Linked DNA regions of Ovis aries. Each later gene encodes a partner of the first gene's protein in a complex. Links are inferred from orthologs where the notes say so. Each region holds a gene or a part of one and is shown on either strand. Other genes may lie near its edges. The genes, in order: CRHR2, UCN and GNA11.

The links.
Region 2: the proteins of CRHR2 (region 1) and UCN are in contact, whole or in part, in a cryo-EM structure (PDB 7TS0), measured with the Homo sapiens proteins. The link is inferred for Ovis aries from reciprocal best matches to the Homo sapiens genes CRHR2 and UCN. Residues at the interface, in NP_001874.2 of Homo sapiens: Phe68, Asn69, Gly70, Val71, Tyr73, Ile101, Leu102, Asp103, Asp104, Arg107, Asp110, Tyr113, Leu117, Asn120, Trp166, Leu169, Gln170, Val172, Asp173, His174, His177, Glu178, Thr188, Phe191, Asn192, Phe199, Phe256, Gly257, Lys258, Asp265; in NP_003344.1 of Homo sapiens: Asn84, Pro85, Ser86, Leu87, Ser88, Ile89, Asp90, Leu91, Thr92, Phe93, His94, Leu95, Leu96, Arg97, Thr98, Leu99, Leu100, Leu102, Arg104, Thr105, Ser107, Gln108, Arg111, Ala112, Asn115, Phe119.
Region 3: the proteins of CRHR2 (region 1) and GNA11 are in contact, whole or in part, in a cryo-EM structure (PDB 7TRY), measured with the Homo sapiens proteins. The link is inferred for Ovis aries from reciprocal best matches to the Homo sapiens genes CRHR2 and GNA11. Residues at the interface, in NP_001874.2 of Homo sapiens: Arg148, Tyr208, Leu209, Ala212, Ile213, Thr216, Glu220, Lys293, Lys307, Ala311, Phe358, Tyr359, Phe362, Asn363; in NP_002058.2 of Homo sapiens: Arg37, Ile348, Leu349, Asn352, Leu353, Glu355, Tyr356, Asn357, Leu358.

Annotation. Positions count from the first base shown.
Region 1 is NC_056057.1:67,214,908-67,218,552, forward strand, and holds part of CRHR2 (corticotropin-releasing factor receptor 2), read left to right. Parts: intron 1-164; coding exon 165-274; intron 275-611; coding exon 612-729; intron 730-2,871; coding exon 2,872-3,025; intron 3,026-3,547; coding exon 3,548-3,608; intron 3,609-3,645. UniProt on the Homo sapiens protein: G-protein coupled receptor for CRH (corticotropin-releasing factor), UCN (urocortin), UCN2 and UCN3. Has high affinity for UCN.
Region 2 is NC_056056.1:34,382,545-34,385,787, reverse strand, and holds UCN (urocortin), read left to right. Parts: upstream 1-1,057; 5' UTR 1,058-1,855; intron 1,856-2,116; 5' UTR 2,117-2,129; coding exon 2,130-2,519; 3' UTR 2,520-2,679; downstream 2,680-3,243. Other genes in the region: TRIM54 (tripartite motif-containing protein 54), read right to left, coding at 3,216-3,232. UniProt on the Homo sapiens protein: Acts in vitro to stimulate the secretion of adrenocorticotropic hormone (ACTH). Binds with high affinity to CRF receptor types 1, 2-alpha, and 2-beta. Plays a role in the establishment of normal hearing thresholds.
Region 3 is NC_056058.1:18,490,739-18,494,383, forward strand, and holds part of GNA11 (guanine nucleotide-binding protein subunit alpha-11), read right to left. Parts: intron 881-3,645; coding exon 696-880; intron 1-695. UniProt on the Homo sapiens protein: Guanine nucleotide-binding proteins (G proteins) function as transducers downstream of G protein-coupled receptors (GPCRs) in numerous signaling cascades.

The DNA.
Region 1 (3,645 bases):
CAAGAGCCACGCAGGGCCGACAGGAGAGAGCTGTGGGAGCCAGGTGTGCTGGCGACACCTGGAGCCTCTTCTGCCCCCGAGGTCAGGACGCACTGGGTGGCCATCGCTAGAGCAGCCGCATGCCCCAGGCCTCCAGCTGCCTGTGTGTCTATCTGTCTGTCCAGCAGAGGAAGTATGACCTGCACTACCGAATCGCACTCATCGTCAACTACCTGGGCCACTGCGTGTCCGTGGCAGCCCTCGTGGGTGCCTTCCTGCTTTTCCTGGCCCTGCGGTGAGCCACCCCACCCCTGCTTTTTCTCCGCCCTCCCCGCCATGGCATCCCCTTCACCCATCCCAGACATGCTCACCTCCACTCCGGCAACCCTGGGGCCAATGGACAGAAGGGGCCAGGGGAGACACCAGAGCACTGACCACTAGCAGGTATGCAGAATGCAAAAGGGGTGCTGGCTCTGGAGGACTGCCTTGCCTTCATCCCAAGCTAAGTCTCTCCCTCACCTCGGGTCAGAGGGAGGGGTACAGGCCCAGCTGACCCCTGTCCCCTGCCCCAGCTGAGCTCTGAGCCCAGGTGCAGCCTGTCCCGGCTGACAGCTGTCCTGGGTCTCGCACAGGAGCATTCGCTGTCTGCGGAACGTGATTCACTGGAATCTCATCACCACCTTTATCCTGCGGAATGTCATGTGGTTCCTGCTGCAGCTCATCGACCACGAAGTGCACGAGAACAATGAGGTCGTGGGTGGAGGTTTGGGGCTGGGCCCCGGGGGGCTCTGGGGGCTCCCACCTCTCTCACCCCATCTTCACATGCGGACCTGAACCTGAGCTCACCTCTACCACATCATTGTCCCTCCAGAGCTGGGGGTCGGGGAATGGGGCTCCAGATGGGGTCTTGAGAGCAGCTCAGACCAGACACCAGACTTTGGTTTATCCTGTTCCACTCCCCGTCTTGTGCATTCAGCACCTCCCTAAGGTCCCTTAGAGGAAAGGGGGCTGAAATTAACCTCTATTGAGCTTTAGCTCACTTGATTCCAATCAGAGAGTTGTAGGAATTTTCCTACTGGAATTTTCCAGACATGGAAACCAAGGCTCAGAAAGGTTAGATGACATTGTTATGATGCCTCTGCAACTGGGCCGTCAGGCCATTGAGCAGAACAGCACATTAGCTGCCCACCCTGGATTTGTGTCAGCCGCTGTTATACAGCATCCAGGTTGTGAAACAGAGCCATGCACAGAGCTCTTCTATCCACTATTAGAGACTGCTCAACACATTGTCTTTGGATGGCTAGTTCTGAGCACACACCCAGCCTGGCTTGCCTTTTGACTTGGCCCCTTGTTGAGCCTTGCCTTGGCATCAATGGGATTCAACCAGTTTGGGGTGTCGTGCAGCCCACTGTTGGCTTGTATTGACAAGGCATTGTTAAGCTTTGGGAGGGAAAGCAGGATTTGGAGGAGAGGATCTTTGGAGTCCCTCCTCAGCAGGACTTTCTCAGAACAGGGAAAACAGACAGCCACGTGGAGCCTAAGACTGGGGCTGGGATCATGAGGGGAAGCCACAGAGGCTGAGATCAGCTCAGCTGATGCTCTGACAGCCAAGGCTATTGGGCTGAGCCGTCCACAGTCCACTTCCCACACTGCCCACGCTCTCAGCTCCGAGGGTGCCCTGGGGACAAATCCCCAGGAAAAATGGCCAGGTAGGGTCCATTGAGAAGAGGTCTGGCCTGAAGCCAGACCTGGCCATGGCACACGGTGGCTCTGGGCAGGCTTGTCCTCTGAGGGAGTGGTAGTAACTCTGCTCAGAGGGACGAGGACAAATTCCCCTCGACTAAGGAGGCACGTGGCAATGGCATTCATTTCATGGTGCCTGCCTTTGCCACCTCCATCTCCTGGAACCAGCCTGTAAGATGGCATTGTCTTTTTCTCTACAATGCAGTGAGATTCAGAGAGGTATGGCCACTTGCTAGAGGCCCCAGCATTAGCGAGTCTCCCTCAGTAGACCGCTGCTGCTGCTAAGTCGCTTCAGTCATGTCCCCATAGACAGCAGCCTACGAGGCTCTCCCTCCTGGGATTCTCCAGGCAAGAAGACTGGAGTGGGTTGCTATTTCCTTCTCCATTCCAGAGACAGCTGCTATCATGCTAAGCCCAGGATTTCCTAAACCCAGGAATCTGGGAGGATCACCTCCAGAGCTGTGGCTCACCTTCACAGACCCTGTACTATTTCAATAGCAGTTTTCTTTTAATTGACTCACTATTTTTTTTCTGCATGAAATTTCATAGTCCGTCCCTAAATGGAAACCAGGCTGATTTGCTGTGAACTGAAGGTGATCCTCGAAAAAATAGGCTTCCCAGGTGGCTCAGTGGTAAAGAATCCGCCTGCTGAGACAGGAGACATGGGTTCAATCGATCCCTGGGTCAGGAAGATCCCCCAGAGGAGGAAATGACAACCTGCTCCAGTCTCCTTGCTGGCAAAATCCCATGCAGAAAGGAGCCTGGCAGGCTACAGTCTATGGGGTCGCGTTACTGGGCTACTGAGCCCAATACATGTGCTGGAGAAAATGACAGTGATACACAGCAGTGCTGTTCAGTTCTAGCCTCTCCCTGCAGAAAGCTCAGAGCCAGACTCCCACTTTCTTTTATGAAGAAGGAGATTAGAAATCACCAGAAAGAAGTCAGACACCCTGGTTCCAGGGGAGCCTGGCCCCTTAATCTGAAAAACTGAAAGAGAAATGATGAAGGATGACGTTTCCCCGAATGAGACTCGAGAGTGTCTAATTCCGTGTCCGTGACCTAACTCAATGACTCCCCTCTGTCAGCGCTCGAGCTGTGCACTGGGGGGCTTGGCTCCAGGCACCTGCTGACTGCCGCCTGCCTGTGCAGGTCTGGTGTCGCTGCGTCACCACCGTCTTCAACTACTTCGTGGTGACCAACTTCTTCTGGATGTTCGTAGAGGGCTGCTACCTGCACACGGCCATTGTCATGACCTACTCCACTGAGCGCCTGCGCAAGTGGCTCTTCCTCTTCATTGGATGGTGTGAGGGTCCCGGGGGGCCTGCAGGGTCGAGTGGGGAGAGGATTCTGCTGACAGGGTCACCTCCTTTCATCTTGGGTCCAAGGACGGGACCACATTGCTGTCTACCATCCCCAGGACAGCCTGAGGAGGCAGGCACTCTCCTCCATATAGACGAGGGAAAAGCAAATGGTCCCTCCAAGAGCACAGTCCACAAATGGTCCTCCTCTTCTTGCTTGGAGTGGCTGATCCAAAGACCTTTGTGTCTCTCCTCAAAAGAGAAGCTGGCCAGCTCCACTTCTGTATCAAAAATCTCAGAAAATCACACTGTCCTCTCATCTCTCTGACCTGCTTGGAGGGGATAGCTGAGAGTGGGGGAGGGGTGGGGCAGGGGTCTAGGAACAGGGGCCCCCAAGGTCCTAGATGGCCTGCAGTTGAATGATTGGAAACAATGTCCTAGCCCTGTGTGGTCCCCCGACTCTGCTCTTCAAGAGGGTGTCCTGACCATCTCTCTGTCCACTGCAGCAGTGTCTGTCCTTCTTTCAGGTGTCCCCTGCCCCATCGTCATTGCCTGGGCCATTGGCAAGCTCTACTACGAGAATGAACAGTAAGTAGGACTGGCCAGCAGTGAGCAGGTAGGAAGT
Region 2 (3,243 bases), on another chromosome or scaffold:
GTTCCTTAGGTTGGCTGTGGTCCAGTGTGTTGCTGTTATCTGGAACTCCTACCTGTCCTGGAAGGCACACCGGCTCTAAGTCGGCTTCACTCCGTCACTTCCATCTTGTAGTGATGCACCTTGACCCTGGAAGGATCAGACCACCTCTTCAAAGTGGGCACATTGGTCTTCACAGGGTTCGGTGGCTGGTCAGAATTTAATGGGGTTAGCACCCTGAAATGGCCCATTTCACTCTAAAATGTAACCTGACTCCTATTGAAATGGCTAAAACGCACCACACAGTAGGCACTCCATAAATATTTGTTGAAACATCATTTTGTCAACTTTAGATTATACGCTCATCCTGGAAGATGCCACTTTTCCCCAGTCTTCATAGACAGCTGTTTTCCTAACCCTTCCCAGCCTCAGTGTAGCTCCAATTTGGGGGAGATCCCCTCAAACTCTCTATAGGGTGCCTCTGTAAATATATTTCTAAATAGGTAATCTGGAAGCTGCAGAGGCAATGAGTAAGACCCAGCAGAAAATGACTGGGGAGTCTCATTTTCCAGGGTTTGGAAAGAAGTCTGGAGACCCCCAAACCCCAATCTTCTATTACAGATGAGGACACTGAGGTCCATAGAAGTAAAGTGACCTGTCCACACTGTGAGTTAGTGGCAGAGTAGAAACACGAACATGTGCTATCATCATTTGAATGTTTGTATCTCCCCAAGTTCATATGGTGAAAACCTAATGCCCAAGGTGATGGTATCAGAGGTGAGACCTTTGGGAAGTGATTCGGTCATGAGGGTAGGGACCTGGTGCTTACAAAAGAGGCCACCTGAGAAGACAGGAAGAAGCAGGTCCTCAGTGGACAGTAAACCTACTGGTACTGTGATCTTGGACTTCCTGGCCTCAAGAACTGTGGTGAAATAAATGCTTGTTGTTTATAAGCCACCCAGCTTTTGATATTTTTGTTATACCAGCTCAAAAAGACTAAGAAGCCAAGTTTTCTTACTTCCTACTCAGTGATCTTAACCTAGAGGTCTGCGATAAAATAATATTGCTGCTGTGATTCCCAGGAGAAAATTTAACTTGGCTAAACTTCAGCTTTGAGGCAAACCAAGAAGCAGATGGATCAGCCTTTGTTATCTGAAAGCACCCCGGCTCGAGAGGCCCTCTTTTTTAGGCACGTCGGACAGACAGCCCTAGGATTTAGATCCTGGGGCTGGAAGAAGATCAAGAATCCTGGCAGCTCAAACTGCCTTTTGGGTAGGGTACCATTGTGGTAGCTGAATGCTAGCAGTGCCATCCTGACTGCCTCCATTTATAGAACAGATAGTTGGGGCAAGGGACTGGATCTGAGCAGCACAGCATTTTCCCCAAGGTCTCTGGCCCCTTTCAGAGGCTGAGCACAAGGTCAGCACCATGGACAGCACCACCGTCCTGCCTCCCTTTCCTGTTCCAGAGAAGGTTGGAGATCTGGACTAGTCTGGGGACTGACCGGTCCCCCTAGTCCCTGCTGGCTGTTCTAAGTGAGTGAAGGACTCTCGTGGCTCCCAGAGCAATCTTTACGCCCCAGAAGGCTTCTCTTTCTCTTGAGTCCAGTGTCATTTCCAGAGACACAAAGTCTGGTGTCCTCCGGCGCGCTCCTGGGGTCTCGCAGCCATAGGGTCGGACTCAGAGTTGCGGCCGTCATTGCTCTACAATCAGTGCATGTTCCTCGCTGACGTCAGCCGGAGCTGTTCTGGCGCTATATAAGGCTGGCGAAGGTCCCGGGACAGACCCCGTGTTCCCCGTGGCGCCCTCAGCCCTCCCCGAGGGACAGAGACTGGAGCTCCATCCTGCAGGGTGCAGAGGCTCTGCTCTCCTGCGAACTGTGAGTGGCTTCTGCGCGTCTGCCCAGACTCCCTCAGCACTAGGACAGCGCTCAGCTCACCCAACGCGACACCCCAAGAAGGAGGCAGGGAGAAAAGGGTGGCACAGGACTGGGAGCGGCTGGGGCTGGTGGGAAGGCTGTGGGCACCTGACGGCAGTCGCAGGGGCCGGGCAGGGGCGCTGGACGTGCTCGGGAAGGGGAGCGGCGTCCCCTGAGACTGCCCGAGGCGCACCTCACACTGCGCTGCCCCTGTGTGTCCAGGGCCGGCGGGACCATGAGGACGGCGGGACGCGCGGCATTGCTGGCCGCGCTGCTGCTCCTGGCACAGCTGCGCCCGGGGAGCAGCCAGTGGAGTCGGGAGGAGGAGGCGGCGGCCGCCGGGTTCCGAGATCCGAGTCTGCGCTGGAGCCCCGGGACTCGGAACCACGGCGGCGGGGCCCACGCTCTCCTCTTGCTGCTGGCGGAGCGCTTCCCGCGCCGCCGGGCGGAGCAGGGCCGATGGGGATCCAGGACGGCAGGTGAGCGGCAGCGACGAGACGACCCTCCCCTGTCCATTGACCTCACCTTCCACCTACTACGGACCCTGCTGGAACTCGCGCGGACGCAGAGCCAGAGGGAGCGCGCCGAGCAGAACCGCATCATATTCGACTCGGTGGGCAAGTGATCGGCGGGTCTCGGGCCCCGACAATCTCGACCCCCATGCTCCACCTCAGGGTTGAGACGTGAGCGACAGGAACTGACCAAGTCCTGCAGGGCTAGAGCGGCCTAGGGATACCCTGAGCACTCTCCGCGTTACCGGTTTTTAATAAAAGTGCTGAAGAGCCGTTGGCCTCTGTTGTGGGGGCGCGGGGAGCCACAGAAGGGTGTGAGCCCGCGGGGAAGTGGGGTCTCCCAGGCCGGCGAGAGGGAACCAGATGCTGTGGGAGGGCTCCGTGAGAACCGCTTTCTGCCAGGGTCCTGGGGTCCCCATCGTCTCCAAGTCTCCAGGAAGTCAAGCCCCAGTGTCGCCGCCCCACCCCCCTGCCCTCTTCTCTTGGCTCTGGGCTCGCGAATCCGTGCCTAATGTCAAGGAGGTGCCCCATAAGGGTTCGTTCCGCTTCACACACCCCACCCCCACCCGTCCTCGCCCCAAGAGGTCCCAGATTTGGAGAAGGGCAGGATGGATGGTGATGCTATGTCTCCGAAGCAGAAGCTCAGAGAGTGAGCAGTGAAAGGAGCTGCGGGTCGGGACGCATTAACTCTTTATTGAGCCCCTCCCCCGCGGCGCCACGCCGGGCTGGGTGGTACGGTGGTCTCTGCTCAGGTCGTTCACCATCCGAGCGCCAGGACCCGGGTGCGCAGGATCCGCAACAGGAGCGAGTCAGTGCTGGCCTGTGCCTGGGAAAGAA
Region 3 (3,645 bases), on another chromosome or scaffold:
AGGGCAGACCAACAGGGACCCTGGACTCCACACTCCACTGCTGGGGACACACCCAGGAGAACGAGGATGCGCACACAACAGAAACTTGCACACGAACATCTCAGTGACATGTCCGAAAGAGCCAGAAAGTAGAGACAACCTCGTGTCCCTCAACGGATGATGAATAAACAGCTGTGGTCCATGCACACACAGAGCATGACTCAGCCACAAAGAGAAGCCTTGGCACTCGCTACCATGTGGACGGACCCTGAGAACATGACGCTCAGCGAGAAAAGCAGACACACAACACACAGGGTGACTCCACCGACGGGAAATGTCCAGAACAGGCCGATCCACACAGACACGATCCACACAGACACGGAGGTGGGTTCCTGGTTGTCAGGGGCTGGGGCAGGAGGATACAGGGGTGGCGGGGGGGGGCGGTTGGTGCGGAGGGGTGACTGCTGATGGGGACATGGTTTCTTTCTGGTATGATAAGAGTGTCCTGGAATTAGAGATAATGGTTGCACAATGCCATGAATATGTTAAAAATGAGTGAAATGCACACTGTAAGTGGATGACTTCATATGTAAATGTTCTCAGTAAAGCTATTACAAAAGAAAGAGGAAGGGTCCCAAAGGTCCGATTCCGCACGCGGAAGGCCTGCTGGACAGGCTGTGAACGGCTGCAGGATGCACAGCAGCACTGGGCCTCACCTTGTTCTGCTCGTACTTGTAGAGGATCTTCAGGGTTTCCATGGCGCGGATCATGGCCTGCATGGCGGTGAAGATGTTCTGGTACACCAGTTTGGTGAAGCCCCGCTTGTCCTCCTCTGAGTAGCCCGCCCCATGGATGATGCGCATCTGCTTGATGAACGTGCTCTTCCCGCTCTCGCCCGTGCCTGCAAACGGCCCAGTGAGACCCCAGCCCTGGAGCCCCACCCATGAGGGGGCAAGGCGGGGACACGCCTGGCCTGGCCCGCTGCTGCCCCTAGAATCAGGCGTCCTCCCCTGCACACCCACATCTACACGGGGAGCCAGGGAACCGAGCCTCTTAGGAGGTCAGGACGATGATGTGGGCAGGGACAGGAGGGGAGCGGCAGCTGCACCTGCAGCAACTGGGGTCTGAATCAACTCCGGCCGCAGCCAAGGAACCCAAGGCTGCAACAGTGAAGTTGGCCTCTCCCGGACGCCACCTGCTTAACTGCGGGTGGCTGCAGGTTCACTCCCAGGTCCCAAGCACCCCTGTATGGCAGTGTCCCACCAATCCCTAGCTGCTCCTCCTCCATAGCTTCCAACCAGAACAGCTTTCCTTCGGGGCATGAGTTTGGCATCTTGCGCACCTCAGGGAGGGGCGCTCAGAGGCTCTACCTCCTGAGAGCTGGGGACCAGAGTCAGCTGCAACCCCCGAGAGGGACCCCGGGGGCCTCTTCGTCCTCCCCTTTCTCACTCAGTGCACAGCGTGCGGGCGCCAGCCCCACCCGGCCCCACGGGCGCCAGCGCTCCCCAGGCCTCTCCTGCTTCAGCCCCTCACTGCCCTGTCACCTCTAAGCGGCAAACCCATCTCCCCACTTTCATTCACCCCCAAGTACAGCCACAGCAATTTTACATTTCAATGTGTCCAGGAATCTCTGTGACACCTCCCTCGCAGAGCCGGAGCCTGATCCCCCTTTCCAACCCACAGAACCAGACCAAGGACAGCCTGGCACTGCGAGACAGTCCCAGAGGGCACTGGGCTCCCTGGTCTCTCTGGGACTCTCTCAGGGGCTGGGGGGTAGCTCCGCAGGGGCCCACATAGACAGGAGCCGTGTGAGGGGCCATGCCGGAACCCTCTCCTCAGAACCTGCCTATGGTTTTCGGCTACTAAGCTACAGGGTGATTTTACTGCACAGCAGGAGAGAACGCTACACCCTAAGGACGCACTGCCTCAATCCCTACTTGATGACAAATGCAGGTCCCACTCACCCATGGACCGAAGGCCCAGGGCCCCCTTCTGGGGACTCAGAATCCCCCAGACTCACCCCAGCCCACCTGCCCAGGCTCATCCTCCTCACCCTGAGTGGCCTGTGCCCCTCACCCTGACTCGGGGGCCTGGGCTGCATGCTCTCCACATACTGTGGGGCTCACAGCCACCTGTGCCATGGGCAGGGGACAGGAGCCCCCCTGCGCTGGGACCGATCACCATGCTTGCGGGGGTCTCTCTCAGGTATCTGTTGCCCGCCTCCTTGCTCAGGCGGGTTCCTGGGGAAGAGACAGGTTCTGAGTGCCCCACATTGTGGTCTGAGTGACCACCTTGTCCTGCAGCAGGAGGCCCTCCACCTGCGTCTGAATAACTGACTGCAGGAGGCCCCATGGGGAGACCCGAGACTCAAGCTGGACAAAGAGGGAGCCTCATGCAGCCGCCCTTTCTAGGATATCCATCAAGGCCCTCGGTCCTTGTCTGGTTCTGTCTCCAAGTGGTGACTACCCCTATGCCACCCTTCGCCTTCCTATCTCTGCACAACACCAACCAGGGCCAGTTGCCCACTCTCACGAAGGCCCCCCAGTTCTGGAGCAGGAGAGGATGACCCCACACCTTCCCGAGAGATCCACGAACCATCATTGCACGGGGTAGGGTGGGGGTGGGCAGGAGGTGGTGGCACACAGGAGTACCATGTCCAGTGCGGTCTCCTCTGGACCAAGGTCCTCCCAGCACCGCTGCCATTGGGCTCATCACAGGTTCTATGAGCTGTGGAGCAGTCTCCTTGCCCCCACCCTCTTGATGCCCCTACCCTCAGTGAAACAACCATGGATGTTCCCCAACAGGGCCCAAGGTCCTCTGGGGGCAGGATCGCCAGGGTAAGAATCACTGGTTTTGATAAAATTCTACTGTAAAAAGATACATGCCCTGCTGGTTGTCTGGACGGGTTTCTCACTGGAAACACCAGACGGTGGCCACTCAAGCCCAAGCCCCTGCAGGCCGCAGGTCAGCCAAGGTAGAGAGGGCAGCCTCTTGTGTTGAGGCCCCTCAACTGCAGGACAGGCAAGTGAACCACGTGAGTGCGAGGGTGCCAGGAGACCAGAGAGCGCTGCCTCTGAGGCAGACATAGCCAGCATCTTCAGAACCGGCACCAGAGGAGTGAGCAGCCCCACACTGCCCCCCAAGGGCAGTGCCAAGCACCAAGGCTCACACACACCAGCACATGGCCTGCACCCAGAGCCAGGGACTGCGGGCAGGGAGTGACCACTAAGGAGCCCTGAATGCAGGCCAGAGAGCGGCCGAGGACAACAGGGATGGCCAAGGGGCCGACACAGACACCGCCAGTGGGACACGCCCCAACCGAGAAACGGAAGATGGACCCCAAGGAAGCTGGAAACACGATCAACCCTGGAGACACGGGGGGCCTGGATAGGGCATGTGGCCCAAATCCTGCCAGCGCAGAGAAGCCGCTGTGAAGACAGAGCCGTGATCCAGGCCAGGAGCAAAAGGCACTGGTGAGGTGACAGGGCGAGATGGCCTTGACTGGCAATCACGTCACAGTGCCTGTGCCGAGTCCAACACAGCTCAGGGCGCATCTCAATTAAACCAGGTAGAACACAGCAAAAGGGACACCGCGGGACCAGAGTGGGACATGGCAGCGTCACTTTGCCAGGAAGAACAGAGAAAAGCAAGGGGGCGGGGGGCGGG